Medicago truncatula: one gene and its partner. Each later gene encodes a partner of the first gene's protein in a complex. Links are inferred from orthologs where the notes say so. Each region holds a gene or a part of one and is shown in the gene's direction. Other genes may lie near its edges.

The links.
Region 2: exosome complex component RRP4 homolog (region 1) and exosome complex component RRP41 homolog share a complex: the UniProt entries of both Arabidopsis thaliana proteins name them as parts of the RNA exosome complex. The link is inferred for Medicago truncatula from reciprocal best matches to the Arabidopsis thaliana genes RRP4 and RRP41.

The regions. Positions count from the first base shown.
Region 1 is NC_053045.1:58,351,560-58,367,592, forward strand, and holds exosome complex component RRP4 homolog, read left to right. Parts: upstream 1-9,143; 5' UTR 9,144-9,263; coding exon 9,264-9,520; intron 9,521-9,644; coding exon 9,645-9,690; intron 9,691-9,784; coding exon 9,785-9,874; intron 9,875-13,151; coding exon 13,152-13,217; intron 13,218-13,294; coding exon 13,295-13,360; intron 13,361-13,628; coding exon 13,629-14,087; 3' UTR 14,088-14,521; downstream 14,522-16,033. Other genes in the region: protein trichome birefringence-like 4, read right to left, coding at 14,854-15,199, 15,292-15,450, 15,537-15,733, 15,839-16,031. UniProt on the Arabidopsis thaliana protein: Non-catalytic component of the RNA exosome complex which has 3'->5' exoribonuclease activity and participates in a multitude of cellular RNA processing, maturation and degradation events.
Region 2 is NC_053048.1:55,306,012-55,321,044, reverse strand, and holds exosome complex component RRP41 homolog, read left to right. Parts: upstream 1-8,126; 5' UTR 8,127-8,280; exon of another isoform or gene 8,281-8,361; 5' UTR 8,362-8,414; coding exon 8,415-8,468; intron 8,469-8,579; coding exon 8,580-8,626; intron 8,627-8,735; coding exon 8,736-8,796; intron 8,797-8,953; coding exon 8,954-8,992; intron 8,993-9,105; coding exon 9,106-9,173; intron 9,174-10,337; coding exon 10,338-10,416; intron 10,417-10,505; coding exon 10,506-10,542; intron 10,543-10,710; coding exon 10,711-10,827; intron 10,828-10,962; coding exon 10,963-11,048; intron 11,049-11,971; coding exon 11,972-12,061; intron 12,062-12,165; coding exon 12,166-12,213; 3' UTR 12,214-12,223; intron 12,224-12,331; 3' UTR 12,332-12,732; downstream 12,733-15,033. Other genes in the region: ubiquitin-conjugating enzyme E2-17 kDa, read right to left, coding at 496-639, 1,470-1,574, 1,800-1,927, 3,002-3,071; uncharacterized protein, read right to left, coding at 5,336-5,348, 5,895-6,616; putative glucose-6-phosphate 1-epimerase, read right to left, coding at 13,795-14,003, 14,167-14,266, 14,424-14,526, 14,705-14,839, 14,973-15,033. UniProt on the Arabidopsis thaliana protein: Non-catalytic component of the RNA exosome complex which has 3'->5' exoribonuclease activity and participates in a multitude of cellular RNA processing, maturation and degradation events.

The DNA.
Region 1 (16,033 bases):
ACATTAAAAACCATGTAAAGATACACTCATCAGACTTTTCCAGCAACGTAAGCGGTTGGACAAACAATATTAGATGAACACCTCACCAAAGATGCAAATATAATGTCCAATAATGAAATGTAGTTAGTATTATCTTATTGAAGGAATGACTACTGTGATTTGAAAATGTTACTATGAAGACAATTAAGAAATAAAAGTTAATATCATGGTATAGTGAAGACAATAATGAACCAAACTTTTACGCTTAGCATAGTAGAAGCAGCCACATTTTTGCTTGTGATTATGAATTCGGCAGGATTCCTTGAGTCCATTGCAAAGGCCGCCAATGGTTATTTGGCAGCTAAATTATTTTTAGATTGGCAAATTGCTTAATTTCTTCTCAAATTCACATGTCTGAAAGGTAACATGCATAATATGTATACCTTCTGATCTGTCAATGTGATGATCCAAATAAGTTACAATAAAAAAACAGACAATAAACAAACCAACATTTGTTTCTTAGTAAATTAAAACAATTACCAACATGGAAACATTTATATCAACAGAGAAAAAGAAACTAACACATCAAAATAACAAACATGTTTTTATAAAGGAAAATATTTGATTTGAGAGTAATGAAAAATGTAGAAAATCATATAGATGTACATATAATAATGGAGAAACAACATGAGATTGGAGTGTTCCGAGGCATGATTTTCAAATTCCAAAACCAAAAATAATTAGTACCAATATAACAAATCACATAAATATTCAAACTTTAATCAAAATAACTTACCAAAGGAAGTACATCAATTGAAAATCTCAAGAACAAATCAAAATAAAAAACCTAAATTAAAAGTAAAAAAATTGTAAATCTAAAAATTACCAGATTTGCTATCTTGTGAGACATTCAATCGCGAATCGTTCTTGATATTGAGACGGTGAATGCGACCATCCAATGAAGTGATTCAGGTTCTAAGAGGTTTTTGATTATGTTGTTGTAAATATCGAAAGCGAAAAGATGTTTCATACGTGAGTTTTTGGCAGAGGTGAGAACAGATGAAGCCTCCGGCATAGAAGGTGCCGGTAGAGTCGAAGACGGTGAGGATGGTGTCGTAACCGAGAGCATTGGTGAAGGGAGGGATGAGAGGAGAAAGACAACGGTTTAAGGGGAAAAGAGGTGGGAGATGAAGAATCGTGGAGAGAGGGAGAGAGAAAGGAGGGTGAGGTCTGAGTCATGGTTCCTAACGAGATAGATATCTGTATTGGAAAAGAAGACATTAATTATTTGTCATTTACAATGCAGTTGAGGGATGAGCAAGAATCAAATTAGATCAAGGGCTGTCATAAACAGGGTTAGATCCAATTGGTAATACTGATTGACGCCTAAAAATGTAGAATTAGGGTTTTAAGTGTGAAGATTGCTTTTTAGGCCCCCTAAGGTTACAAAAATGTCCTTTATAACACATCTGGTATTTAACCACTGCATGTGCATTTTTTATAATTTAACTAGACTTTCCACTTGTAGATGTAGTAGACAAAAAAAAATCTCAATGCATATCAAAGAGAATGAAATAGCAAATCTCAATGCATATCAAAGAGAATGAAACATGTGGTCCAAAATATATGCAGATGTTGGAATTCGAACCTCAGACACCATACTTATTCACCTTAAAAATATTAATTTTTTATCAATAGTGTGTTACTTCATTCTTTTGTTAAAATTATATGTCAATGTTATATTATTTGCTATGTTACTTCATCCTTTTTCTTTTTTTTTACAAAATGCTACTTCATTCTTTTGTAAAAATTATATGTTAATGTTATATTATATACCTCAAAAAAAGGTTTTATTTTCCCTCAAAAAAAAAATGTAAAAGGTTTTATTTAAATAATTTTTCTTTTATCGAATATTTGGCCTTAGCCGTAAATGATGCCCTTTAACTGTTTGTTGAAATGTTTCTTCCACCTGTTTATATAGATTGCAAAATTCTGGTGCATGTTGTGGTAGATATTTAACAAAGAGAGTTCACTTCTAATTTGGATGAAAAGTGTAATATTAACAAAAAAATGTTGCTATAATCTTTCAAAACCCTTTTATTACAATAATAATCTTTCAAAATTGACACAGTTAAATACTGCTAGCTTCAGTAGGAGTTATAATAGTTGGTTGCTCTTTAGGCATGCATTTTTACATTGGTAGGTTCCGGTGAAAATCCTTTCCTTACACTTATATTCAGTTTTTTGGAGTATTGGATTAGAGGATGTGTAACAGTTACATCATAATCTCAATGATGTAGTGAAATATCTACGATTTATCTATTGTCTGATATGGCTGTATGAGTTCAAGTTCCCCACTCACCAATAAGCTTGTCCACAACGTCTCCGGTTGGAGTATTTTTAAAATTTGCATCTGCAAGTTGTGTGTTGATGAAATCGGCTTGCGCTGGACCTACAAACATTATAATCCCTTCAACAGCTGGATGAGAGTAAGCCTCTCTTAGTATCTCTTCAAAATACATTGTCTGCTCAACACACAAAAATAAGCAAAAAAATAATCATTTCTTGTTTGATCATATCATATAATATAGCCAGTGAAGCTAATGAAACTAATACTTCTAAAAAATTTGTTTGCTAAATTCAGGTTTGTTTCTTTTACTTCTATGACTAACAGACGAAAATAGATAGCTAAACTATGCATCTTATGTTTTAAATCTTGCAGCTTTGTATTTTGACTTGTGTAATAAGCATAAACTTTTAAAGTATAGGAAATACCTGATTTGGATTAGAATCCACACTACTTTCAGTGAGCCATATAGGAAGTCCAGTTGCACCAAGATGATCTAGACCTGACCTCATGTAAGCAATGTTTGGCATGCCGCTTGACAAATGGCCTTGCACCCATATAGCCAATAGCATTCCAGTAGTTCCTGATATAATTGGCTGGGCTGGCAACTTGGTCTTGACTGAATTCAATGGTGTTAAACACGTTCATAAACATGCTGGTGTTCGAATCAAGATAGTAAGCTGTTAAATAATATACTGCAGAGGCATTTTTGCCGAGTTTGTCCTCAAAAAACCGGTTGTGGACATTCTCGTTTACAACGTCCCATGCAATCAATTGTCCACTATATCTTGAAACCAAAAATTTCATTCTTTTTGCAGCCGCTTCTCGTAATTCTTCAGGAGATAGGGACTTAAGCCATCAAATGTTAAGCAGAACTGCACGTGTAAGGAACCCGTTCTCCACCCTCATCCACCAAGATAAATTTGCAACAATTTTGAGGAAATGCCTCGATAGAAATCTGCATGAAGTAGCTGCAACATTAAAAGAATACATATCAAAGAGCAAAAAACTATATCAATCCAAATAACAATGTGAATCCCACACTCAAGAATGAAGAAGCTTTAAGTTAACTGTAATTAATCTTTTATCAAATGAACACTTGAAATCACATTTTAGTTAGGACTCTTTGAGGCAATCCTAAAGGTTCAAATTTCCATAAAAAAACAAGAAAAAAGAATCATAGGTTCAAGGACATGATATCTAAGAAGTTTGTCCTTCTAATACTCCAATCACATATTAGGTGATAAACTTATTACTTACTAGATAAGTGACCCGTGCCCTGCACGGGTCTTATAAGCCATAGGTGACTTTAAAATATAATAAACTTTAGATTTATGGAAAAGGTATAAAGGATGATATGTAATAATAATTAAGAACATCTTAGAAGATAGTTACAGATGGATTGTAATGCAAGAGTATTATATATGAAGCCTAGGTAAAAGTAAGGTATTTTATATGTGACTTGTACATCAGACATTTCGAAATACTTCCTCATACACCACATTAGATGTCAGATTTGTGTCATCACCATCTTCATCGGTAATCAATATCTTCAAACCTCCTCTAGATGTAACTCTCGAAACAGCAACATACAATTGTCCGTGAGAAAAAACAGGCGCACGGGAGATATACTCCAACATTTTGTAGTGATTGTCCTTGACTCTTGTTGATTGTCATCGCAAATGATACAGCCAAAGGAAATTGTTTTCTTTGAAATTTAAAAGGGATTCTCACATCGGAGGGTGATAGAGATAGCCTAGGTATAAAGACTCTTTTGTGTCTATCAAGGTGGCAAAGCGGCTAATCTCATCCCCAAAGTCAGCAGAAAATAGGTTAGGCAACCTAACAGCGCCCTACAGCAAAGAAAACAAATGTAAATGTCAAAAATTCGTATAAGCAAAAACAAATGAAGTGATTATGAATACAAAATATTAAAACCCACATCCTCAACATCATATTCGACAATATAGGAGCGGTATTTCGTCCGGAGCTTGTTGACAGCTTTGTCCAATTCAGTAGCAGGGTTACTCACCAAAGATCCAACTAAAGAAACACGAAAAAGAAAAGTTAGAAAAAAAAACCACTATTTTCAGATCCAAACGTAATATGTCATTGCTTTACCAGTCAGTGCATGGTAGGACAAAAGTGTTTCAGGTCTAGCTCTTGACATTTTTTTTCTTGATAATAGACAATTGGTTATGAGAAATAAAACAACCAGGATGAAACCAAGAGAAACAAAAACATGCATGTATATATAGAAAACAAACTTAATTGGGATACCATTCTACATGCATTGAAAATCGAAAAGAGAGGCTGAGTGGAGAGATTGGTGTTTTTCAGACGGCACAACAATAGAAATTAATTAAATGTAGTTCATTGTATCACCAAATTAATAAAAAGGCATGTTAAATATTGCTACGTTTTTTGAATTTCATTTGGTGGAATATTGAAAGAATTAGGGTTAACACTAACAACAATTAATACAACATTTTGAGCGGGAAATTTTTAGGGTTAAGTGATTGCTAACCTAATAACATTAAGGAGTAAGGGATATGACATTACCTCAACAACTTCTTTTCCACCATTTTCAATGCGATTTGTCTGGTATTCGGTTTCTTCTGCAGCGAAGCTACTGGGAGGCTTAACCTTTAAAAAACATGTTTGAAGAAGGTTCAGTGACTTGTTTAACGATGTCATCATTTTTAAGTAAGGAAGTATCAAGTATCCTTTACAAAACCTATGATAAAAGAGGCAATATTGTAACTCCTGCATGACCTCCTACCACTGGAACATTAACTTCTCTTGGATCAACACCAAGTACCTCTGCCTGCAAGAGAAAAGGAAAGTACGCCGCATTTACTCATATTATAGTAGGAAGGAAATTCAATTATGAGATAGAAGAGGAAAGCTATGCTTACCACGAAAGTATTATATACTTATGATTGTGTCATTTTCAACCATTATGTAACTTATGATGAAGAAAAAAGAACTCATCCATATTTCAACCTAATACATATGAAGCAAAGCAGTTAACATGTTTAAAAGTTCAAAGCAAAATGAATTATTATAAAAATGGTGTTAAGCAAATGATGTTCAGAACCAAATGAAAATTACATTTTAGATTTCTCGTCAATTTAGGAAAGAATATGTCTTGATAAAAATTTAGTAAAGAATATTTCTTGACAGAAAAAATCAAAAACATACAAATTTAGAAAGGAAACGTACATCCAATTTGTATAAATACTGAATCATATCTGAAATGAAACAGGAATCTTAAAATTAAAAATCTTCAATAGTTAATTGTTAGCACATTTGCACCGAGGAATTCAAGACATCACAAATCAAACCTACATAAAAGAAAGAAAGAAAGACAACACAATAAAAAAGAGTCAATTAATGGTGTGATACTAAAATTCAAAACATTTATTAGAACCTTGAAACGTTCAGATTCATTAGAACAAGGTTTTTTCTAGATTACCTTTGAAGAATGGTGGATAATTTATCCACCAACCAATGAAAATGAGAAATTTGTTGGTGGGATCAAGATAGTTAATGGATACCACTTAAAAATGTGCTTATGTAGCTAATGTGTATTGGTTGGGGTAAATTACCCACCATTCTTCTATGGATACCCTAGTTGTCACCTTAGAACAATCATTATCAATTTTGGATACTAAAATTCAATACCTGTGCTCTTTTTCTCCTAGTTCAAGTAACTATAACTGCGTGGACCTTCATTAGAACCTACAAAATAAAATAAAAAAAGTTAAGAACATTAAAAGGTAAGAATTAAAAAAAAAAGTTCATAAATTCATCCATAATTCAAGTAGAAGAACATAAACAGAGAAGTAGCATGGTTGCAAGGTATTGAATTGAGACTGAAACACAGATAAAATAACTATTACAAAAACTAACAATGAAAAAAAGAACAAAAACTATTCTAACAATGAAGAAAAAGTTGTAATTCACACAATCACATATCAAAATCAACTATAATTTACACAATATTCATACCCTAATGTCAAATTCGAAATTAGCAAAATTTTATTTTAAAGAAAGTGATTTGTTTTGTTCAAAAAATAGGAGATTTCTGCAACAAAATAGGAACAATTTGTTAACAGGAGTGATTTTTTATTTTTTATGTTTATCTGTTTAGTAGGAAATGATTTTTTTTAAAAAAAAAAAGAGATTTATGCAATTTGATATTTTAAAAAGGGTAAGCAAGTACTGAATTTAGGTTAAAATTAGGGCAACAATTATCATTCGATTAACTTTAATAAATAAAAGATTGTTTCACCTCCGGTGCATAGTACCGGATATGTATTATACATATATATAGTTGTTTTTATCCAAATGAAAAAAATGCTAAAGTGCAGGTGAAATCCCACGAAATTGTTAACTACTATCTTGCATATTTAGGATAATTATCCATGAACACCCTTTTTCATACCACTTTACATACACCCTTCATTATCCAATCACACACTGCCATGTGGTCAAAATCTTTGACTCATCCCATCCCGCCAAAACATTTCCCCTCTCTCTCCAGAGTCTCTGCAGCACCATTATAAGCCGTTGGATTCAATCAAACGGTTGTGATATAGGATACAACATAAATTGAAGTAAAACATCTAAAAACTGTAAAAGATCTTGTATCTTCTTCACTCTGCCTTCTCTTTCGTAGCCACACTCACCCTGCCTTGTTCACTCTACTTCCAAATTTTCTTCTCATTTTCAAAGACATATTTTTACTGAATCAAAACATGTTTAAGCCATTAGTTTAACAAAAATAAATTGTTTTTCATGTGGGTAACAACAACACAATGCAACAAGTCGGCAAAGTGTCAATCATCACTTATAGATATGAAGGTGGGAAATTTGAAAGAAAAAAAAACAGGGTAAGATGCCAACAACATTACTTCTTCAACACATGATTGCCAGAAATAGGGAGAACGTAATATCAACACAATAAGATCAAATAAATCTCATTTGTTAACAGAACAATCATCAAATTTGAGAGAAAAATTGCTAATTTTGCATAATTCCAAACAACACAGTCAAACTCAATATAAAGAGAAAAAGATGGAAGTATTGCCAAAAACGCAATAATCAAAAGAGTCACCATCGGGCACCGGAGAGAGAGAAGGCGGAGGAGAGAGACACCGGGGAAAGAGGGACAACAGCCAGCTATGAGAGAGAAATTCAGCAAGAAGAGAGAGAGAGGGGGGGGGGGGAACACTGTAGCGACGAGGAAAAAGAGACAAAAGCAACGCGAGTGAGTGAGAGACGCAGTGGGGTAGATGTAGTGGGGTCGAGGGTGGTGGATGAAGGTCGTTCAAAGAGAGAAAAGGTGGGGAGAACCAAATGGATGAAGATGGTGGTGCGTGTGTCTGTGATGGCGGCGGGTATGGTGATGTGTGGCCTTATCGGCGAATGTGAAGGCCAGATGGAGTGGCAGTAAACACGTAGGTGAGAAGAGGGAAAGATGGTAGTTTTCTAAAGATTTTACAAAAATGCCCTTCATTTAATGTTAAAATATCAATATTGCCTTGCCACATGGGGGGTGTATAAGGGGAGGTTGCCAGCTAGGGATGTATGTGTATCAGGACTCTACTTTTATTAAAAATGACCATGTTTCTTTTTTATACCAATTGTAACGTTGTTGTTCCTTCTTTGAAATAACATTTTACATGAAATCGCACCTAGTAATCAACTTTTCAATGGTGGCATTGAAAGTAATCTGACATTACAACGCTCTAATGGTGGTAAAAAGAGTATCCTCCCATGCCAGTGCCTCCCCAAGTGCTCTCTCCGCCAATGTCGACGTCGAGTCGGAACAGGTAAACGTTTTGAAACAAGTCGCATGCTACAGACAAATTGTTGGTGGTGATTCTGCAGTGGTTGGCAACATGTGGCAGCAACCAATTCTGGTGTTATAATGGTGGTTTGGGCGGCAATGACCAGGACAACGGCGGAGACAATGTTGCATCTAAGGTAACAACGACAGTGCTTATTGCTTGTATGACGGTGCCGACCAAGAGACGTGTATGCACAAACGTGTTGAAGCTTGTTCATGCGGGTTAAGAAAAGAAAACACCCGTGTTCTGTTTTCCTCTGTTTTTCAATGGCTCTGTTTCACTGTGCATGCTTCTTCTCTTATCATTCTTTTTCTTCACATGTTTCTCATCAAAACCTAATAATCACCATGTAAATGACTCATTCTCCCTTTCGTTCCCTCTAGTCTCTAACCTCTCTTCAAATCTCCATAAACTCCAAACCAAAAACCAACCAACAATTCACAACACTTTCATCTTCATCTTCTTCTTCCATAAATGTTAAATCATCTTTCAAATATTCTATGGCTCTTGTTCTGACTCTTCCCATTGGCACACCACCACAACTTCAACAAATGGGTATTGGATACAGGAAGCCAAATTTCATGGATTCAGTGTCACAACAAAAAAGCACCGCAAAAGAAACAACCTCCTACAACTTCATCGTCTGATCCTTCTCTTTCATCTTCTTTCTTTGTCCTCCATAAGAAAACAGAAACAAAATATATGTCCGGTACTTATGTACCGGAGGTGAAACAGTTACATTAAAAAAAATGCACATACGGTAGTTAAGTATAGGATGTGTTATTTAGGGCATTTTTGTAACTTTAGGGGGCCTAAAAAGCAATATTCTTTAACTAGGATTAGGAATAAGTTAGATCAGTATGACCCAAAACCGGCCCACCCAACCCGAAGGGACCCACCTAAAAAAAACCACATCTCGGACAAAAAACAAAAGAAAGTATAAACCCTGTTAAAAACCTTGCGCCGTGAATTATTAAATTTGGACACATCGAAGTGAGAACCGAAGAAGCTGTGCCCTAGCTACCACCCTCAATCGCTTTCCTCCGTCGACTGAACTAAGCCACCGCAACACCGCCACCATGAGAGGGATTCATTTACAGTTGAGTCAAACTCAAAAGCTCCGTCTACAGAAGGCTCTAGAACACCTCGAGTCTCTCTCTTCCAAGGTCAATTCTGATTCTTCAGTTACCATTGCCGATTCCATCCCCGTCAACCATGAAGACGGCGTACTCAAGGGACACGGAACCGCTGATCTCGACGGCGAAGTCGTCGCCACTCTATGTGGTGTCGTTGAACGTGTTAACAAGCTTGTTTATGTCCGCGCTTTACGCTCAAGGTAATCAATCTTACTTCTTAACCTACGAAGCACACACTGACACGTCTTCATGAGTTCATAGCTTCTCCACTTCCTTAATTGTTATGTTTTTGTTTGTTAATGGAATATTGTGACTTAATTTTAGGTACAAACCTGAGGTTGGTGACATTGTTATTGGGCGTGTCATTGAGGTACAGTTTTTATAGTTTCAACCATTTTCTGAATTTGATTTGATAATGTTTGTTTAACTCTAGGAATTTTACTGGTCTTTGTTGTGTTGTGTAGGTTGCTCAGAAGCGTTGGAGATTGGATATTAATTACAGTCAAAACGCGTATTTGATGCTTTCTGCTATGAACATGCCTGATGGTGTACAGGTATTTTGCAATCTCCCTTATGCAGACAACGAGAACCGTTCCTTTTTCAAAATTTAGGACCATTTCCTTAAGAAATTTTATCATAGTTAGTTATTTTTCAGAAATGAAAGATAAAAAAACAAAAACTATTTCAGTGTGTGGATTACAATTTATCTAATTTTTGACAACTGTGATAGCATTGCAAGTATTGATGAGTTTTTTGCTGTATTACTGACCTGGTTTCATCCTGGAGGTTATTTGACTATAGTATGCACACTCACGTGCTTAGTAGTATTAATTACAATATATGTCAAACTGTGTGTTTCTCTATGCAGGGGTAGTAATTTTTAATTTGCTCCCTCGGTTAAAAAGTGTTCAATTTAGCCTGTCATATAGTTTCAATTGTATTCAACTTCTGTCCTGTTAACTATTGCCATTGTAACTCCATGACATTACATTCAATAGAGATATTATGAAGTATAGGAACCAAATTGAAAAGGCTGTCATGTTTAGGGCATGAAAATACAGTAATTATTTTTAATATACAACAACAACAACAACCAAGCCTTATCCCACTAAGTGGGGTCGGCTACATGGATCAAATGACGCCATAGTAATTATTTTTAATATACGAGACAAAATTTTCAATTTGGTCCTGACACTTAGAAGTGGTGATAGCACCTACGGGCAGTGTAGAGTTTAAATTGAAACGTGAAAACTATTTTGTACAGTTGTATGCATCTTGGTAGTCAATAGCAGTGGTTTGCGACTCCGGCGCGATCGTGCGCCGGAGCATGGTTGGCCGCTGTGGTGTGGTTTGGTGCAGCTCATATTAAGGCTGCGGCCGTTCTGTGTGTTCGCAGGTCGGTGGGTTTGCAAACGCACATGCGATTTGCCTAGAAACACCCATATTGCCTTTAATTTTTAAACGTTATTGGGTATTATGGGGTCTTTGCACGTGAAACCCAGTATTCTTCTCTCCTTCGTGTTTGCAGAGAACATCTCTCTTCTGCAAGCTTCATGCCTCCTATTTTTGGATTTTTGATGTAATTGATTCTCCAATTTTTTGAAGAAGTAGCTGATTCTCAATTTTTTTGGGGTTTTTTTTGATGAAATTGATTCACCAGTTTAGTGTTTGATTACAAATTGTTCCATCTGTAGTGACTTTGTTCGGTTCTTTGTCGTGTTCTCTAGTTAGGAAGGGGGAAAGTTATTGGTTTTTTGGCTGATTTTTTTACACTAGACCATGTTGAGAGGCTTGCAAAATTTCTACAGTTTTGGGAGTAAAGGAGTCTGAATAATATTGCAAGTTTGTTGTTAGGTTTGCTTTGGGTGGATGAATTGGCATTTTGAGAGTAAGAATTAAAAGTGATTTTGTAATGGAGTGACCATGTGAAAGTAGTAAGGTGGATTTTGAGTTTTTGGGTGGTGATCTATTTTTATTGGTTGGGTTGTGCTAGATAAGTTATTGAGCTTATGCTATTGGTCCCTTTATGTTTCTAAAAAGAGGAGACACAACAAAATAATGCATGTAAATTCGATTTTGATATTTTTCTCAATTCTCGCCAACATGTCAAAACATTGACCACAAGACTATTGATATCTAAGAAGGATGGAATATTATCCAGGATGCTTTCAAGAAGCTCGAGAACATTCTAGAAGCCGCACTTTACCTCTAAAGACTACATGGTGATATATACAATCATCCATAAAGACTAGAAGCCGCACTTTACCTCTAAAGACTACATGGTGATATATACAATCATCCATAATATGTGCACCGACTGCTAATTTAGTCATTACTTTTCTCAACAATTGTATGACAAGTACAAGGAAGCATTTCAAGAGTACATCAAATCAACCGTTCTCTCGCGTGTTTCTGGTCAATCATAGCTAATATTGCATCCATTACTTGTTTATTTAATTCATCATATACCAAGTAATAGAAGGATAAGAAGCCAATTTCTTGTTGAGAAGGAAGTTGATGTCTTCGGACATGGTATCTATCAAGATAACTGAAATACTTTGAGCGCTGACATGTCCTCTCTTTGTGATTTGGCCATCTTCTGAGCAATTCTCTTAACAAGAGTTCATCTTTCTTTCCTCGTAAAGATGGCAGAACCGTTGATTTAATGTTGACATTTGAGAAAAGGGAGTGGGTACTCCTACTCATGGATGTTGTAAGGCTATTGCAAAAGGTAGTTAGTTGATGGCAGTCTTACTCATATAAAGCTTCCCTACTATTGCCAAATTCCATTGAAATTCTGAAGTTGGAGATACAGTGGAGGCTTATGTTACTTGGCTTGTGAGAAGAAGAAAAAAAATGAAATAGTGCCACATCTAATAATAAATTACAAAACCATCTTGTTAGTAACAAAGTATAATTTCTTTGTTTTCACATGTCCCACATCGAAAGTAGGTAAGCAGTAGAGAGAACGCTTTGCCTATAAATCAAAGAGTGATACAGTATTGATCAAAGTAACAATTGGGGCCCAATTTCACTATTGTGAATTAATGTGTTGTCCTATTGCCAATTTTTGTTTAAATTGAATTGGTTTAGTTCATTTTTAAATTTTATCGAATGAGATTGGTTTAAGTTCTGGGGCATTGTTTGGCTTAAAATTCTGATATGGGCCAAACAAGAACTGGTAGGACCTCTAGTAAATTTTTGGATCTTAAAAAATTTGATGTTATATAACCAAGTGGGTTGTACAACTGAACTGAACGAGTTGAATCGGTCTGTTCGTTAATTTTAAGCGAGCCGAACACGAGCTAAAAAAAAGGTTTGTTTCGAACTCGAGTAGAGTTTCGAGCTGAACCAATTTTTAACGAGTCGAGTCGAGCTCAGATGCGTTCGATTTGACTCGGCTCATTTCCAGCCCTAATTGGACTTAAAACATTATTTATGACCTGAATTGTGTATTTGGTCTGGATCAACATTTGATGGTCATCGAAGTCGGTCTTCATGAAGTGGGTATACTGATTTAGGTGTAACCTTTTATGCCTGCATGAAGAAACACTAATCACGCAAGAAAAAATATTTAAAATTTAAACTTCAAAGAAACTAATAGAACAGGGTGAGGGGTACAAACAAATGCAATTGTAAAACAATTATGGTCATCACTTATCAAGCAGTTAAGTCCTTCGAGTTTTTATAAGCACAAAAATAGGAACAAGGTGCAATCATCTTCAGTTTTGATTGGGTCTATTTATTTTTTTATATGCTGTGTCATATTTTTGGATTTCTTTTCCAATTAAGCTTGAAAATCCCTCATTTAGATTTTTTCTTTCCACTTAGAGGCGAAGGACAGCTTTAGATGAGCTAAATATGCGCTGTATTTTTGAGGAGGCAGATGTCATTTGTGTAAGTGCTGCCATGTTTCTTAAAATTTACTTTTTATGAAGGAAATAGCAGTTGAGTATCCTAAACTATGTCCACAGGCTGAAGTTCGTGGTTTTCAGCATGATGGCTTACACCTTCAAGCAAGAAGTCAAAAATATGGAAAGGTTTGTATTCTTGAAAACCTTTTAAAAACTCATGCTGCTTACAAATATAAAACTGAACGGATTAGAATTACCTGTTTATGATTGAGGTGTAATGCAAGAATCCTGGAATCAGGGGTTTACTTTATTTTGATAGCTATGGCACTTGTAGTGATTTTGTGTATGGTTTGTCACTTGTATTTTGTAATACGTTTTGGGTTCTTAAATTTTATTTCAAATTTATTCTTCAGCCATTTACTACTGTTACTAATGGCTTTGAGTGTTATTGCAGCTTAGTACTGGTCAACTGCTTACAGTCACACCGTATTTAGTGAAGAGGCAGAAACAACATTTCCATCATCTAGAGCAGTACGGTATTGATTTAATAATTGGCTGTAATGGGTTCATATGGGTTGGGGAACATGTTGAAGTCAGAGATGACATGGTAGAAGATCAAGTGAACCAATCTGATCCACAGGTTTTAACTCCCAATAAAAATTCTGTGAGTCTTGAAGAACAAGAGAAAAAGTACACAGCACTGGAGACAAGAAAGTACATATGCAGGGCTGCTAATGCTGTTAGAGGATTATCCACTTTAGGATTCATTATAACATCGGAAATCATCAAGGGAGTTATTGATCTCAGCCTTTCTGCGAATCTTGATATACACGACATGCTTGGTTCCGAGTTCTGTGTTCTGGTTGCCGAAAAAGAGGCAGAAAGGAGAAGCTCAAATAAAAAGAAGCGGTAGATTGTGAAATCGTGGTTAGAAAGCGAAGTTTTATTATCCCTTTGCAGGGGTAAAAATAGGAAAGGAATTATTCTAACTGTAGCAAGTCATTTTCTTCAATCATGTTTGATACTTTGTAGGGTGGCACTTAAAAGTTGGATGGACTTATTTTTTATGTTAAAGCTCTTGCACCTGCTGGGAGATGTGGGGTGAAGTGTTTTTCTGATTGGCCGTTGCCACCTTGCTTTTCAGGAGTGACACCTACAACACATGTCTGTTTTTTTTGTTTTTGTGCATCATCTTATATTCTTATGGGTGGTTGTCTATGAATCTTCCTTTTGTATACTAAATCATGGCAAAATGAGTATTGATATTTTCATACTTTTTCTTTCATTGTAAACTCAGACCAAAATTTTATGGAGCTATTTAAATTGTAGTGGTCTATTATGTCGAAATAGTTTATCTCAAACTTAATTTATGTGGGTTAAATAGAACGTTTTCATTGAAGGAGTCTTTCAAAGTTAAATTCATTATATCCGTCATCAACTTACGTAAAAATAAAAACAGAAATCATGCTATATAGTTAAAAGTATACTGGAGAAATTACAAAGTTGTGTATCAAAGTATACACTTGTTTTGAATCTAACTATGGAACTGTAACAAGGATATGAGTATTCTTGTTGAGTAACAAGTGCTATCCTGCAATGTTCAATCACGGCTATAGGTGTGCAAGTTACTTTCCTAAAAATTATGTCTCTCTTACACTAAGTAAGATCATATCGCATGGTTAATAATTTGTAGAAGCAATAAAATTTGTGTGAGCTACAAGTAGAGTGGAATAGAGGAGTTCATTCCAAGAGTCTGGAATTCCAGGAAGGCACCAGTGGCTGCAATCTTGGACCATTTTACGGCCTTTGCTATCACTGAAACCTGGTTCTCTATAAATTGAAGGATGCCCATCTTTTCTGTAGTCTGTCATTTTGGTAATGTTGAGATAAAACACTGGTGTCTTCATCTCTGCTATAACATCTTCGACAATTCCCATTGTCCATGGATATGCTGCAAGATAGCTTTCATTTGTAATGGGTTGTCTCTCCCCATCACATTTACCACCAGAGTTCCATTGCCCCCCTCTGCAAATTTCAGCCATAGAATCAATTACTTAACTACATAATAGATAAGAGATGTAAAGATAAAACAAAGTAGAAGTACACATTCTTCTTACTTGTAGTGAGAAGCTGAAAATCCAGTGAAAAAAACCCTTGTACGTGTGCTATCAACTGTGGAATCAACCCACTTAGCCCATGTCTTCAGTGCCTTTTGTAATGCTTCAGAAACTTCTAATCTGTCATAGACATGATTACCTTCCTGAAAGTAGTTTCTACTGCAAGAATGAAAATTGATAGTAGTTAGCCTTTGAACTACTTATTAATAGTAAAAGAATAGTGTCTTAGCAGAATTGATTTTTACCCATTTTTTGTCTTGTCATGATTCCACCAGTGTCCTGTGTTGAAAATGATTATATCAGCATCATAATACTGAGACTTGGAAGCTTGAATCATGTCAAGCCTAAGAGTATCTCTTTGAGGAACTTCATCGTCACGTGACACTTTCCATTCTTGTACAAGAAACGGGGATTTCACAAAGTCTATGGAGCATCCATAATCCTAATTAACATCACAACATGTCAAAAACACAATATCAAACCTTAAACCTTAAGCAAGCTAAAGTTCTATCAAATTTCTCAAGAAAAACAGCCAACACATCCTTACTTTGAATTTGAAAGAAAAGAAACCTTGAATCCTGAATTCACGGCGTCCGGAAACTTCATAGAGTCTGCTCTTATCTTTAAGAGAAGCTCTCAAAGCACACACCAAAGATTGCCACATGTTCCTGTTCAAAGAGTCTCCTACAAACACCACTCTCTTACCTCTCAACATGTGCAACATTTTCAACCCATCAAACCT
Region 2 (15,033 bases), on another chromosome or scaffold:
AATAATGTTATGTTATTTCCCCTAAAAAAAATAAAATAATAATATTAGGTTATTTTTCTGCTATAAGAAAATTGGTCATTTCCATCAAAAAATTAAGGTTATTTGTCGAGTAATGTTTAAAGTGTTATTCTTCGTAATTGCATATCGTGATACATTGATTTACTTAAAAGATATGATATTAATATTATTGGGTTCAGATATTTCACATTAGAAGCAGAATTTTAGTACAAACAAACAATCGTTTTGTTACTCAGACAGGAAACACAGAAAGATCTACCCTTCAATATGTTAAAGGCAGGAATGAAAAGAGATATAATATGATATTATACATCATGACACTTAACAAATGGAACTAAAGGAACAGATACTTCCAACAAGTGATTGCTCGTCCAACCCGCTTAAAATGCAGAATCTTACCGGAAGCTCCGGTAGGGTATTTTGACAGTTTTTAGCATATAAGGGGAGAGAAGAGCAATCAACCTTCCAACATTCTTGCTAGCCCATTGCATACTTCTGAGTCCAGCTCCGAGCAGTGGTCTCATACTTGGACCTGTCTGTCTTGTACATATGAGCTATTTCAGGCACTAAGGGATCATCTGGGTTTGGATCCGTCAACAGGGAACAAATGGATAACAGCACCTGAAATAACCAAACACAAACCTTTCCCACCCACTTAAGAAACAGCAGTAATAATAATAAATCAACAGAAAGAATAATTAACCGTGCATTGCAATGATAAAAGAATGACACACAAAGGGGAACGGAATTTATAGTGACAACTTCAGGATTGTGACCGTACAACCAATTGTATCACATCAACAAAACCTTTTTAAAATTTATTTGAATTCATCGTAAATGCATAACTGGAAAGACCTTACAAGTAAACAGGCAGCTATCTTGAGATATTTCAAAGCATACTTATCAATCAATAATCCAGATTATGCCGAATAAACATCATCAACAGTCAACACACATATCACAAGATGCTCAAAAAATGTTTAGCATTTGCAGCTTGTCCTTTACATATATATTTTTCTTTGTAAACCTAATAAAGTCCAACATCAGGATTGTGAAGGTCCGACCAATTGCACACATCACCAATAATCTTTTTGAAATTGGTTTGAATTCATCATAAATGCAAAACTGGTAACAAGTAAAGTAGTCGCTAGCTATCTTGAGATATTTCAAAGCATATTTATCAATCAGTAATCCTGATTATGTGGAGTAAACATCATCAACATACATATCATAAGATGCTCAAAAAATGTTTAGCATTTGCAACTTGTTTTACATATGTAGTTTCCTTTGTAAACCTAATAAAGTTCAAAGTTACCAGACTCACTACCAAAACACGCATATTCTAGAGTTGCAAAAATGTATTATCATTGTTGTTGTACTGCAAAATTTCTTTTTAACACAAGTGGTGTATTTGAAAAAAATTGAGTTAATGAGTTAAGCAATGGCAGAACCTTAGATATTGTCAAAGCGGGGCTCCACTGCTCCTTCAAGATATCAAGACAAATGCTACCATTGCTGTTGATATTTGGGTGGAAAACTTTGGTCCTAAATGCAACCTGCAAGAGAAAAAAGGTTTAAAACTGAACAAATTGTGCTTTGCATGATTTAGAAATCACAACTAGCCATATCAAAGCTTGTATTTGGAAAAGCTCTCACAATTTTTTTCCAGCCAGGAAATAGAGGAGGTTAAGTATGATAGATAAAGGCTTAAAAACAACTATTTTATGAACACACAAATCTGATATGAATCCTGATATGTCAAGCAAAACAAAGTCCAATACCTTGGGTGGCTTGAATGGATAATCAGGAGGAAAATGAATGGTAACTAGAAAAACTCCTCCGGCATAAGGGCTATCAGGGGGACCCATTATAGTTGCTTGCCAATGAAACATGTCTTCCGCTACAGGGCCTGTGAAGGTGGTGGATAAACACACAAGAAAAAACAAACTTTGCATCAGAAAATATTGTAAAAATGTTTAACAGACTTCAAATAATATGTACTGACTCAACACAATTTGCATCTGATTGTTTGATAAATACATTTTTGCAACTCAAGAAACATAATAATTGCAAACATTAGGAAGATAAAATCAGCTTTATCTTAAAGCAATAGTTATCTTACAAGACATGCATCTAATTGGACTTCACAAACACAGACAGATATAACTGAATTAGCTTCTATAATCCATCATAATTCTTAATAGAACGCAATAGAGGGTCAACGCTTAAAGTTCAAAAACAGGTTTTCAGCTCTGGGATGCATTTGATTAGTTCTACGTTGACACAAATTGATTTTGAATGAATTGATTGCGTGAAATTGATTGTGACAAAAAGTGAGTTGAATATAAAGTAATTTATGATTGAAGTTTGAACATATCCATGAAAAAGTGGATTGAAAAATAAATTCAAGGCTAAAATCAATTGTAGAAATCAAAACCTAAAAATTCTAGCTTCAAATTAGAATAAATAAATTCTTCAGGCAAAATCAATTCTGCTTGAAAACATCCAAACATGTCAAAATCAATTTCCAACCTATGAAATCAATTTTGTATCCTCCAAAAGTGAAATCAAACATGTAATTAATTCAAGAAACAAAATCAATTCTATTCGAAAACAATCAAATAAGTCAAGATCAATTTTACAACTCTAGAAACAAATTTTGCTGCTGAAACGTGAATCCAACCAAACATACTAAACTTTTTCTAAAACGAATTAAAATTTCAGACAAAAAAATCACACCTTTAACAATATTAACAAAAAACAAGAAAATTATAAATCGTTGCTTATCATTCATAAAGCATCAAAGATCCTAAACAAACTAGCAACACAAAACGAAATCAAGAAAAACATAACAAACCCATGAAACAAATGGAAAAACGATGAATACCCATAAAGATAAAAGTGAAAAATTCATAGATCCAAGCATGAGGGGTGTTTAAAGCATAAAATGGGGTTGGAGGGAAGACAAAAAAAATAAAATTACCAGCGCTGCAAGAGGTTGGAGGATCTTTCTGAAGGTCCTTGAGTTCCTTGAGGATCCGTTTGGAGGCCATGGAATTGGAATTTCCCTTCGAAGTTTTTCGATCTAAACAGTAAAAAAGTTGAAGAGAGAGGGAAAGGAGACCTGCCTCTTCAACCAAACAAGAAAAGGGAAAGAAAAAATCAATTAGTGGTAGTGGTGCTTTATAAGAAAAGAAAAAAATTAAATTAATTAATTAATAATTATTTCATAATGTTTTTCAGCTAATCCATATTTTTGGGTATTTAATTCAATAGGCCTAAGCCCATAAAAGATGGAAAACTATGTAGAAATTAAGGCGGTGACCGACGTAACTTTAGAATCATCAACAATAAGCTCAGTTATATGAGTAGTTAATGATTGAATAACGTTTTTTTTTTTTATTCACAAATTTATTAGTTTTGTGATAGACATGGGTCATTTTAACATTGATATATTAAAATTAATCTCACCTTCAACTGCATTGTTGTAAGCACTCATGAATTCAGTCACTTGGCACCAAGGCACACCATGTTCTTTCCATCATAAAGAATCAATCAGAGAGTCCCATATTTTTTTATTACCAAGTTTAACGGAAAACTTATTTTAGAAAATTAAAACATAAAACGTTGTTGTCTTTTGATATTTTTTAAAAAGAAATGAACGTTTTTTTTTTTAGGGAAAAAAGAAATGAACATTGTGAAACGATTGTCTCCAATCACATGAGATTTTATATACATCTCTATTTTAACCCTTGTTTTTTTTTTTTGCCGGGATTTGAACTTCAAACTTACATATATTATACATTATTTCCACCAACTGAGTTAAGCTCACGAGGACTTCAAGTTCAACCATTGATTTAGTTGGGGGAGAGAGACTTTGATATTAAAAAACAAAAGTGGATTTAAGGTGGAGATTTCTCAATGGATGAAAATACGAGGGAAAAAACAAGTATTAATTGCCCTAGTCATTACTCCTCCAATATTCCTCAAAATTGTATTTAGGTATGGATCCCGTACTCTAAGATAGGTCGGACTCAACAACCAAGCTAAGATTTTAGGCTTCAAAACGGGTTGCCAAAAAAAAAGTTTATTATTTTGAATTTGTTAATCAATTCCTTTAAAATTTTAAAACACGTATTAATGTTCTTTGTTAATATATAGCATTATGGTTAAATTATATAGTTTGATCAAAGGCCTACCAGGATTATGACGATTTACAACATTATTTTCTTAATAGACTAATTTGAAGTAATTGACAATGTCAATTTTCTTTTTGGACCAAGAGAAGGACATTGCTCATAAAATGAACTTACATATATCACAAACTACACATATATACTCATAAAATTTGCATTTGATCCATGTCAAGGAAGAAAGAAAGAAAAAAAATTCCGTGAGCTTAACTCAGTTGGTAGGGATATTGCATATTATATGCAGGAGCCGAGGTTCGAATCCCGGACACTCCACAATTAAATTGTGTGAGCTCTAGCCACTAGACTACTTGACAAAAAAAAAAAAAAAAAAAAAACAGATACAACATATTTGTCAAGATATATCACATGTCAAGATCTCATATCCTTCTCTTAGCCACTAACCATAGGCATATATATTTCACCTTTTGATTCTCAAGGTAGTCTTGGTCCTCAAGCTCTCCCATTACCATAGTTTCATAAGAGAATGATACATACACCTTAAAAAGGTAACATTGTTTAATTGTCTACCTGATTATTTCCTTTTCTCAATTCTCTCATAGTTAATTAATAAGAGGGGATGAGGGGGCATCTTTGTTCCTCGACAAATCCAAGTTGCATACCCACCACATTATGTTTTTTTTTTTATTAAAACAAAGTGAAGAACTATAACATTTTCTCAATTTTTTATTTTTTTAGATTGGTGAAAGGAAACAAAAGCCAACAATATATCCTCAAGAATGAGACTTCCAAAGTCACTATCATTTTCTAGAGGGATTGAGTGATTGATCCTTTCAACAATCACATTAGATCTAATACTAAATAATAATTTGATACTGTACACAACCTATCGAATTATGTACATCCTAAATTCCCAATACACATTTGGGAGAACCAAAGCAGCAAGTTGAACTGCTGAAGATGAGACCCTTTTCTTTTTCCAAGCAAATAACATGTTTCTTCATTTTATTCTTCCTTCATCTCTTAACAGAGAAAAAAGAAGTAACAAAAAAATAATTTAGATATCCAATATGATCACAAAACCTTCATTTCTGAATTGCGCAATGAACATCGATCAATCTGCCAAATCCATATCCAGATTTGTATAATAACACATCCCCAACTCATCATATTTTGATCCTGTAATCAATCATAAACAAATCCATCAACAACTTAAGTTAGAATAGCAAGTCATTTGATGAAAAATATACAAGTAAACATATATATACAAGGTCATCCAAAAACAAATGATAATAAACCAAGCAAATTTCAAAGCTACATTATAGGTAAAACGTAGTGTATGTCTGAATTGGTGGTTTTTATGTTTTGTTTCTACTTGAAAGTTTACACATTGAAATGGGACCACCCAATCAAGATTGAATAGTTCAAATCTTAAAATAGTTTTTTATTTTTGTTTGATATTAACATTTTAAGGTTGAAATTTGGATAGTCTGATCTTGCAGATTGTCACCTTTTGAAAAATGGTTTGATAAAAGTTTTACCGCATTTTCATTGGAGAACATGACACAACTAACAAGTCTTTCCCTAAACAAAACCAATAAAATTTGAAGATGAAATGCTAAACAAATGGAATAACATGAATGAAGATTATTATTAACTAAACAAGTGATGAAGAGGGTCATCATATAACATAGATAGAATAGTTATGGCGTTACCATGCATTACCATTTGAATACAGTGAAGGAACAAGGAGGCATGTCACCATTTTGAATCTGTCTCAAAGTAACATCACCACAAACAACAGTAACACCAATCATCATGGATTTCCAACCTTGAACCCTAACACTCGTTCTTGTTTTCACCTCAACACTAGGCACCAAAGCTTTACTACTAAAAGCACTTTTCAACTTCCTCCTTTGTTTCTCATTCAACTCCTCATGTCTAACCTTCGTTTCCCCCTTCACCGCCGTCTTATTCTTCACCTTCACATCAAACGCAGCCACCTTCGTCGATCCTAAATTCAAATCACCATTATCTGCCCATATCTGAACACTACTTTGTTCAAAACGCCACACCATTTTTGCATTACGGTTCTTCACTTCCACCATTGTTATCGTGTTTGCGTCGAGATAAGCACCGTCGGATTTTGTGGTTATGTTGAAACTTGGAACACGGAAAGAACCGAGGTGGAATTCTGGTATGGAAGGTTGGTAGAGAATGTAGATAACTGCGGCGGCGAGGATGAAAAGGAAGAAGAGAATGAGGAAGATGATGCAAAATGTGCAACAAAATAGGCGACAATAATTACGTTTCTTGGGTTTTGGTCGGAAAGAAGGTGGGAGAGAAGGGTTTCGTGTTGGAAGCGGTTTTTGTTGGATGTTTGGGTCTCTATAACAAGGTGGTTTTGGTAGTATTATTGGTTTTTGTTCGGGCGATGGTTGCTGCATTGTGATTTTGTGTTAATGATGATTTATGAGGTTGATTTGATAAGATTAATGAGATTGATATTGATTAATCATAATGTGATGATGTTGTTGAAGATAATGAAAATGTTGAATGTGGGTGGTTTTAGATCTAAATCTTGGATTGGATGGGAAGAAAAATAAAAAGAAAAGATGAAGGTTGTTCGTTGCATGAGGGATAAGAGAAGAGAAGAGAGAATGGAACATACAAAGTCTTTGGTCATGAGAGGGGGATAAGGAGCAGGAAGAGGACAAATTTGTTGTCACGTTATTTGTGTCCATGCCACATAGGGACAAAATGCAACAATATTTTATTTTTGAAGGGATTTTTAGTTGTTAAATACATTTTTACCCTCCTTAAAAAAATATAATGGGTTAATTGATTTTCGTCCCGCTATTTCTAAATTCCCAATTTTAGTCCCTCAATTTATTCAATTTTTAAAATTGAATCCAACATTACAATTGACGTTGATGTGGCATATTTGTAGATGACATGGAAATAAATTAGTATACACATGGATGCCACATGTTATTAAACTCAAATTTTATTACTTGTAAATATTATATTCAATAATCAATAGTAAATTTCAAATAAATAAGTAAAAGAAATTTCAAAAAATAAGGAATTGATTTTTTTTTTTAAAAGACATCGTCTACGTTGAGTTTAATCAAAAAAAATTTGAGGATTCCAATTTTAAAGATTTTTTCTAATTAATATTAATATAAATAAAACTTTTTTGAATTTAAAAATAGTTAATGTGAAGTGACATCCATGTGTGCATTGAGTTTAGTGACATGTCATTTATAGTTGTGCCCGATCAACGGAATGTGAAATTCAATTTCATAAATTAGAATAACTAAGGGACCAAAATTATGAATTTAAAAATTGGGAGAGCAGAATAAAGAAATTGAATAAAAGGGAGACTAAAAGTCTAAAATTGCAATAAAGCCAAATTATATAGACCAAGTGTTCGTTTGGTGTGCAAGATACGATAAACATATGGTATGAAACGAAGTTGGATAAAAATGCGATAGTGACGAAATAAATCTTATTTTATCATGTGTTTAGTGCACACATGCTGAAAAGTTGAAAACAAATATAGAAACATTGAAAATTGTAGAAAAACAAAGTATTTAACTCTTTGAAGGTAGAAAATTTGTTGTTTCCAATGAATTTTGTTTACTTTTTAACTTTCATATCTGTGTGCTTCATAGGTTCTTTGAGAGATTAATCATTGTTAATGGATGACGCAACTTCGTACCAATATCACTATAACAAAGTTTTTTTTTTTTTTTTTCCAATTCACTAAAAGTTTTTATGTCTTTTTTAATTATTTAATTTTTAAATTATTCTTCTTATCATATCATGCTAGGTTCTTTTTTTGTTTTGTTAGTGACCGAGATTTAAACCCCAAATCTTACATATATTATGCATTGTCCCATATTTGTCTTATAAATACGAGACTTTACATATATTATTCGTTTTAAAATGAATAGAACGACAGCGTTTTGGCAAAACGAAAAAACTTGGCGCAAGATTCTATAGCTAGTCTCTTCTGAATTCTGAACTCTGATTCCACCAAAAAAGCGCAAGTCTCAGACCGCCGCCGACCACCGTTGGCACTGCAGTGAGCCGCCTCGGAGCACAGGTTTGTTGGTTTCTGAATAGAATGTTTATTTGCTTCAATTAAAAGTGAATTTATTTATTTTAGCTTATCAACTCGCATAAGGGTTTGGAAGATTTGATCAAAGAACAGAGTAACGGAAAACAACATTGCCTGAGATGGAGTACGTCAGCCCAGAAGGACTTCGCTCTGATGGTCGCCGACCCATGGAAGTACTGCTGTTTTCCCCTTTTTTTTCTTCAATTAATTTTCTTTCTGTATTTTAATTTCACGTATCAAATTTACCTTACTGTGTCTCTTTTCTCCTCTTTATGCAATCCTAGATGCGACAAATTCGAGCAGAGATTGGTGCTGTATCCAAAGCTGATGGGTAGATACTTTTATCTTTCTCAATTTTTTTTAATTTTTTTTTTTTTATATTTAATAGTATATTTATTCAAAGCATTTCACCACAAACTTCTTTTTCATTGTAAATCCAGCTCTGCTATTTTCGAGATGGGTAATACCAAAGTCATTGCTGCTGTTTATGGCCCTAGAGAGGTACTTTATAACCATTTTACTTGCTTATGCATGTTCGTTCTTGTAAATTTAAGATGGATTCATATCTTTTCTAAGGGAATAATCAGCTTTGTTGGTTACTAAAGTTTTGAGCTTTAGACGACTTTGCCGTTTTTACAGTTTCTTCTATATATTTCAGGTGCAAAATAGGAGCCAACAAATGAGCGACAAGGCTCTGGTATCTTTCTTCTATTAAGTTATAATATAATACATTGGGTGTACTCTTAGTTTATTTAGATGCATTGCACTGAAAATTTATTTAATCATGTTTTTTCTTCTTTCCATGTCTAGGTTCGATGTGAATACAGCATGGCTAATTTTAGCACTGGTGATCGCATGAGGAAACCAAAGGGCGACAGGTTATTTCTTATTTACTTGTTTAATTTCCCAGTCTTTTTGCCTGATCTTGATACTTCCTACTTAATTGATATAGTACTGCTGTACTGATAGGACAAGAGTGAGCGTAGAAATAATATGATTACTCTTGAGAATAACTTGCAATTATGAATTAGACATTTCCATCTTTTTGCACACGTAAGAATTAAACTACGAAAGAGGTGTGGAATTTAAGAATTGTATTACGTCTTCCTGTTCTGCTGGGATTTTTTGTAAGGCTTGGTTGTTGTTGTGATGAAATGTAAATGCTGGTTTGGTTGAAATTCTAAGTGAATAGGGTAACATATTAAGAGAGGAAATGGTAGTAAGCCTGTTGATTGTCAAAGTAAAGCCTTTGTCAAGGATCCAACTCCACAAAACCCTGGTAAACAAAGTGCTGCCAACCTTGCTTGTATGACGGGTTATTATGGTTTAGCAGCTTATCTTTCAGAAAAGTCTCTAGTTGAGCAGCTCAATACATGAGCTTAGCTGGAAATATTAACGGTTTATTGGAAACAGGCACGGCTGATCATTGAACTCTGAGAACCTTACCAGGGACCAGCTGATTTTGAAGGAACCTTTAGCAGAAACATGGTGAGGAGATTATCTGTTGGAATACGCGAACCTTGTAGATAAGGTAGATTTTTGGGGAGTGGTATTGTTAGGATCTATCCTTATAGTTATTTAGTTAAGAAGATAAGTTAACTAGTTAGAAGGGATATAAATTAACTAAATAGTTAGTTAGTAGAGAAATTAAGTAGTTTAAAGGGATAAGTATGTATAGGAGACATAAGGATGGGAGAGGGATCCAATACATGTGTTTGTTTTATTGTGAAAGGACAAAGGAGTTTTGTGAAAGTGAAACCATTAGAAGCGAAGCGAGTCTCATCTCCTATTATCATTCTTAAAGTAAAATGTGTTCAATTTTTTCTTTCTTCATTTCTTTCTATCAATTATCCATTTCTTTCCCTTTGTTCCTAACAAACTTGGTGCTCAATTTTTTATTTAGATATAAATATTCCTTCCATTTGTTTGTCATTCAGAGTTTATTAGATTGGTTGTTCTTGCAATGTTCCATAACCCTTGGTATGGGACAGCCTCTTGTTTGTTTCTTATATATTTGATTGAAGTTTTTGCTCATGCTACAGGAGATCAACTGAAATTTCTCTGGTTATTCGACAAACCATGGAAGAATGCATATTGACACATTTAATGCCCCGTTCCCAGGTTCTATTATAGTCTCTGAACCTTATTTTTTTTAATCATTGTAAATTGTGTATTTTCTTTTTGAAATGATTTGGCTATTTAATTTGCAGATAGATATATATGTCCAAGTTCTCCAAGCAGATGGAGGTAATTCATGCCTGATATTGGGATCTTGTGATCCTTTTTCATCTTGTTAATGTATTTTATTTTTGTTCTTGTGCTCTTTTTAAAAAAATCTCCTGTTAATTGTTAGCAATATTTAAAACGGGTCTCTGTACTTTTATATAACTTTTGTTCGTAACATGCCTTTTGTAGGAACTAGGTCTGCTTGTATAAATGCTGCAACTTTGGCTCTAGCTGATGCTGGGATCCCTATGCTTGATCTTGTAACGTCCTGTAGTGCTGGATACCTCAATAGCACCCCTCTGCTTGGTATGTATGTTTTACTGAAAATTTTAACTGGGTGTTTAGCTAGGGTGCTTTGTCTTTTTTTGCAATAGTGAACTTTCGATTTAGTACTGCATGGTTTATCATAATAATTGAAAGTTGCTGAATGAATATGGACAGATTTGAACTATGTAGAAGACAGTGCTGGGGGTCCTGATGTAACTGTAGGAATTTTGCCGAAGTTAGATAAAGTGACCCTTCTTCAGGTAAATTTTCTCCATATTTGTTTTGTAGTCAGGGAAGTAAATTAACTTGGAAAAAAATGAGTTTATTTATGTTCGTAACCTGGTCCTAGGTTATGGATTGTGTAGTGTCTTGCTTAAATGTGAAAGTTTATTATGTCCTTACTGCAGGTATTTACCCTTTGTATAGAGGCTTTAGGATCTTTAGGACCTATCTCTCTTTCAATTCTCTCTCTTGCTCTGTTATTGGCAATTAGCAGTCACATAAAGGCTGTCGGCATTTTCCGTCCCTCCTTCCAAAATTGTTCTCATCTTTAGACCTAGATTATTGATTTGACTCCTATGAAGTGAGAACTGCACTATAGAGGAAAAAATAGGAGTTATAGTCCTGTTAGAAAGTCAAGGCATACTTTGTGATATTGCATGTTATAATTCCATACTATGCCCCTATGGAAGTGTGTCCCTCATTTCCGGGGGACCAAATACAAAGATTCCTTACCTTTTGTTATACTTTTTTAAACTTCCCAGACCTCCATTTTTTTCCAGCAACATATTTTATTTTCTTGATTGCATATTTTTCATTAGCTCTCCGAATTTAGACTGATATTCTAAAACTGTACTATACACAACGCCGCAATAGCGGCCTCTATTGACTTCAGTGTGTGCACTTGTTATCATAAAAGCTGATTAAGATTTGAGAACTTGAACTTTTAACAGAAATAGATCACTGTAACATATTTTGTTGAAGGCAGTGCATTTATTTTCTTCACCAGTTTCTTTCATTGTATTTTCTCTTGCGTACGAACTAGCTGCCGTGTTTCATAATTTAGAATGGAAAGCATATAGTTTGATTGAGCGGCGTTCAGTTGGGTGTGGCTTTTACTTCATTTTTGGATTAGGGGACATCAAATTTTGTTTGGACTAATTTATTTCGTTATTTACTGTAGATGGATTCTAAACTACCAATTGATATATTGGAAAATGTTATGCAACTGGCCACGGAAGGATGCAAAGCAATTGCAAACTACATCCGAGAAGTAAGAATCTGTCTCATTCATGTGATTGATATAGTAGTAAAAACTAAAAACATGGTTCATATTCATTTCATAGCTGACTTCCCAATTTCTTTATTGATTGACAGATTTTACTGGAGAACACAAAGCAACTTGAGTATCGCAGGGGTTCATAGTTTTATAGAAGTAATGCTTCCTTTTTGTTTGCATTCCATGTTGGTTTATTTCATGTTATACATATAACCTGATGCTATGGTGGTTGTTGCTGATGGTCGTATCTTTCCTGAACTGCAGGTTCTTATTTTCGTCAGTTATGCAGTTTTTCTTCAAAAAAATTTATTAGAATTCTATTGTTGGCATACGGTACTGACTCAGGCAGGAACAAGTAGAGGTGAACGTGCTTAAATGCTGTTGTCACCTAGTTTTCAGGATACCATTGAACTCATTACAACAGTGTTCTGTTTCATTTAACCAAGCTTGAATTAAAATTTTGCCCCATCTTTCCTTTGATTTATCGGGCTGGAAATATTTACAGTTCAAATTGTTGTTATACCAAAAAATTTCAATAGGTGTTTCATTTCGCTGTTGACGAACATGATCGAAGTAGTTTTTTTGTTATGAGCTGTGTATTGAATGACTCTTTAGAGAGGAGTTAACAACAAACTATATATATATAACACATTATTCTTAGCAAACTCTCATTTTAAATTCAAGTAGGTCTACTAAATCACGCATGAATAACATCTATGTCAACTTGTATGTTGTTTTTCATTACTTCTAGGTCCTTATGTATAATTTGAAAATGTAGTTGTCTCATTTATTCTCTAATTAGTATTTTGTTGACATATCTTCACCTTAGCCAAGCAGGTACCTCGTTTATTAGCGAACACAATGTTAGTTCTAAAAATAAACCACTTAAAATTAACTAAATACAATTAACTCCAAAGAAAGTATATAAATAAATAAGCTAAAATGCCGTAAGTCTCCCTACCCTCCAAAAGTAACCACTTGAAAAATTTCTCCAACAAATAATTAAATAAGCTAAAATGCCATAAGCCTCCCTCCATCCAAAAGTAACTAGATGAGTCCGTTGCTATCACATAATTCTTTCTTTATATTTAGTGAAATTGGTTTAAATTTCAACTAATTAAAAGAGAATGTACCTAGAAGAGTGCATTGCTCTCATAATTCTTTCTTTAATACCACTTGTCTAAGTGCTTAGGTTTTGTTTTTTTCATGCCACTTGTTTAGTTACGACAAAAAAGAAAACCAAGTTGTGTTTTATATACTTGGTTGTTTGTTTTTTACCATCAGAAAAAACAAAACCGCTTGCGTTTTTTTATCTCTTGTGATAGCCATAGGTCCAAAATAATGCTCTACCGTTCTTTCTTTAATCACTCATTTAAATCTCATGTTCCAAATCAGCTTTGACGTCACAAGTCAAAACTTAACCTCTCAAACACTACCTACCAAACATTTTGGTTTTGCAACTTTTTTTTTTGTTTTTGGAATTTATGTATACCAATATAATTATTGATTTATTACCTCAGGAATTTCACAAAATATCAAAAACATAGGCTTTTCTTTCTAGAACTAGAAGTAGTATTTGTAGCATGAAAATAACACAACAGAAAACCTGATTACTCCTAGAAAGCACTGCTATTTAGTATCTTACTTATACTGCAAGTAACTTAATGCTACATAGCTAAATGCAACGGAAATTCCGATAACATGAGCTTTTGTACAATTCCATTCTCTCAAAGAACACTTCTGTCCAGACCGAGACGGTCACCACAAAAACTTGATGGCACAATCGAGAGCTGAAGCCGCCCTGTCCATTCCTCTCCGGGCCTCAAGTTCACTGGTGTCTCTATTACTGCTGCATCTACACAAAGCATCTGTTTGTACTCCTCATCACCAAAGTCCGTCATCGACTTTGATTTCTTCTCCCACGGATTCCACACCGCTGCAATTCAAGAAAAAACAAGGCTGTCACCAATGTCAAGGAAATTGTATTTTTTTAACAATTAAAAATCTTGTTCACATTTCAAGTCAAGCTATGAAAATTATTGTTGGTGGCATTGGATGAACTAGAAAGACAGTGTTCCGCTAAATAGTAAATCGCTTACCAACATCAGGGAGACCTTCCTTTTTTATAATATATGTTTGTTTCCTCTCATGATCTAGAACTGCAATTATATTTGGAGAGCTAAGATAAACACGATCCACCTGCTCGGAAGAAAGAATCAATTTTGAAAACCTCTTTATTCATAGGCTAGGAATGCAGAGGTATAGTTACCTCAACCGAAAATCTAAAGCTTGACTTGTGTCGTGGAACTATAGATATGTATATGCTGTAAACATAAATACAATTCACAAGATTTACCTCGGATTCAAATGTTATCGCATCTCCTTGTTCTGTAAATCGTTCTTTTTGGGAAAGGTTGTCCAGGTAATCAAGTGTCTCAAGACCTTCAATCCTTATCTCACTGTACATAATTGTTAATGTGAGCTAACTAATCCAACAGTCAATTCGCAATACAAGAAAAAAGATGATTGGATTAAAAGTTAATGTGAGGTAATGTATATTCAATTTGCAAATTTGTGTAGCTAATTAATTGTGTAGCTAACTAATGATTGTCAACTACAATAATGCATTATCCATACCTAATGTCAGAAACCAGTAAGTATGTGTGGTATGCGAATGAGAAACTAAATGGCTTGCCATTGATATTCCTGACTCGTGATATCAGGGTTATGTCTCCGTTTGTTGTAAGCGACACTCGAAGCCGGAACTCAAAACTGGTACAATTAGGAACAAGTAATATCAGATACATGTTAGCTTCAAACAACCAAAGTGATAGAAAAGAAGAACGGAAACCCGTCAAAGTAGATATCCATGTGAACTATGGTTTTATGGCGTTCAAGTTAATACCTATGTGGCCAGCATTTCATGTCTTCTTCAGATGATTTGAGTAGCAGGTCGACGAAGGATT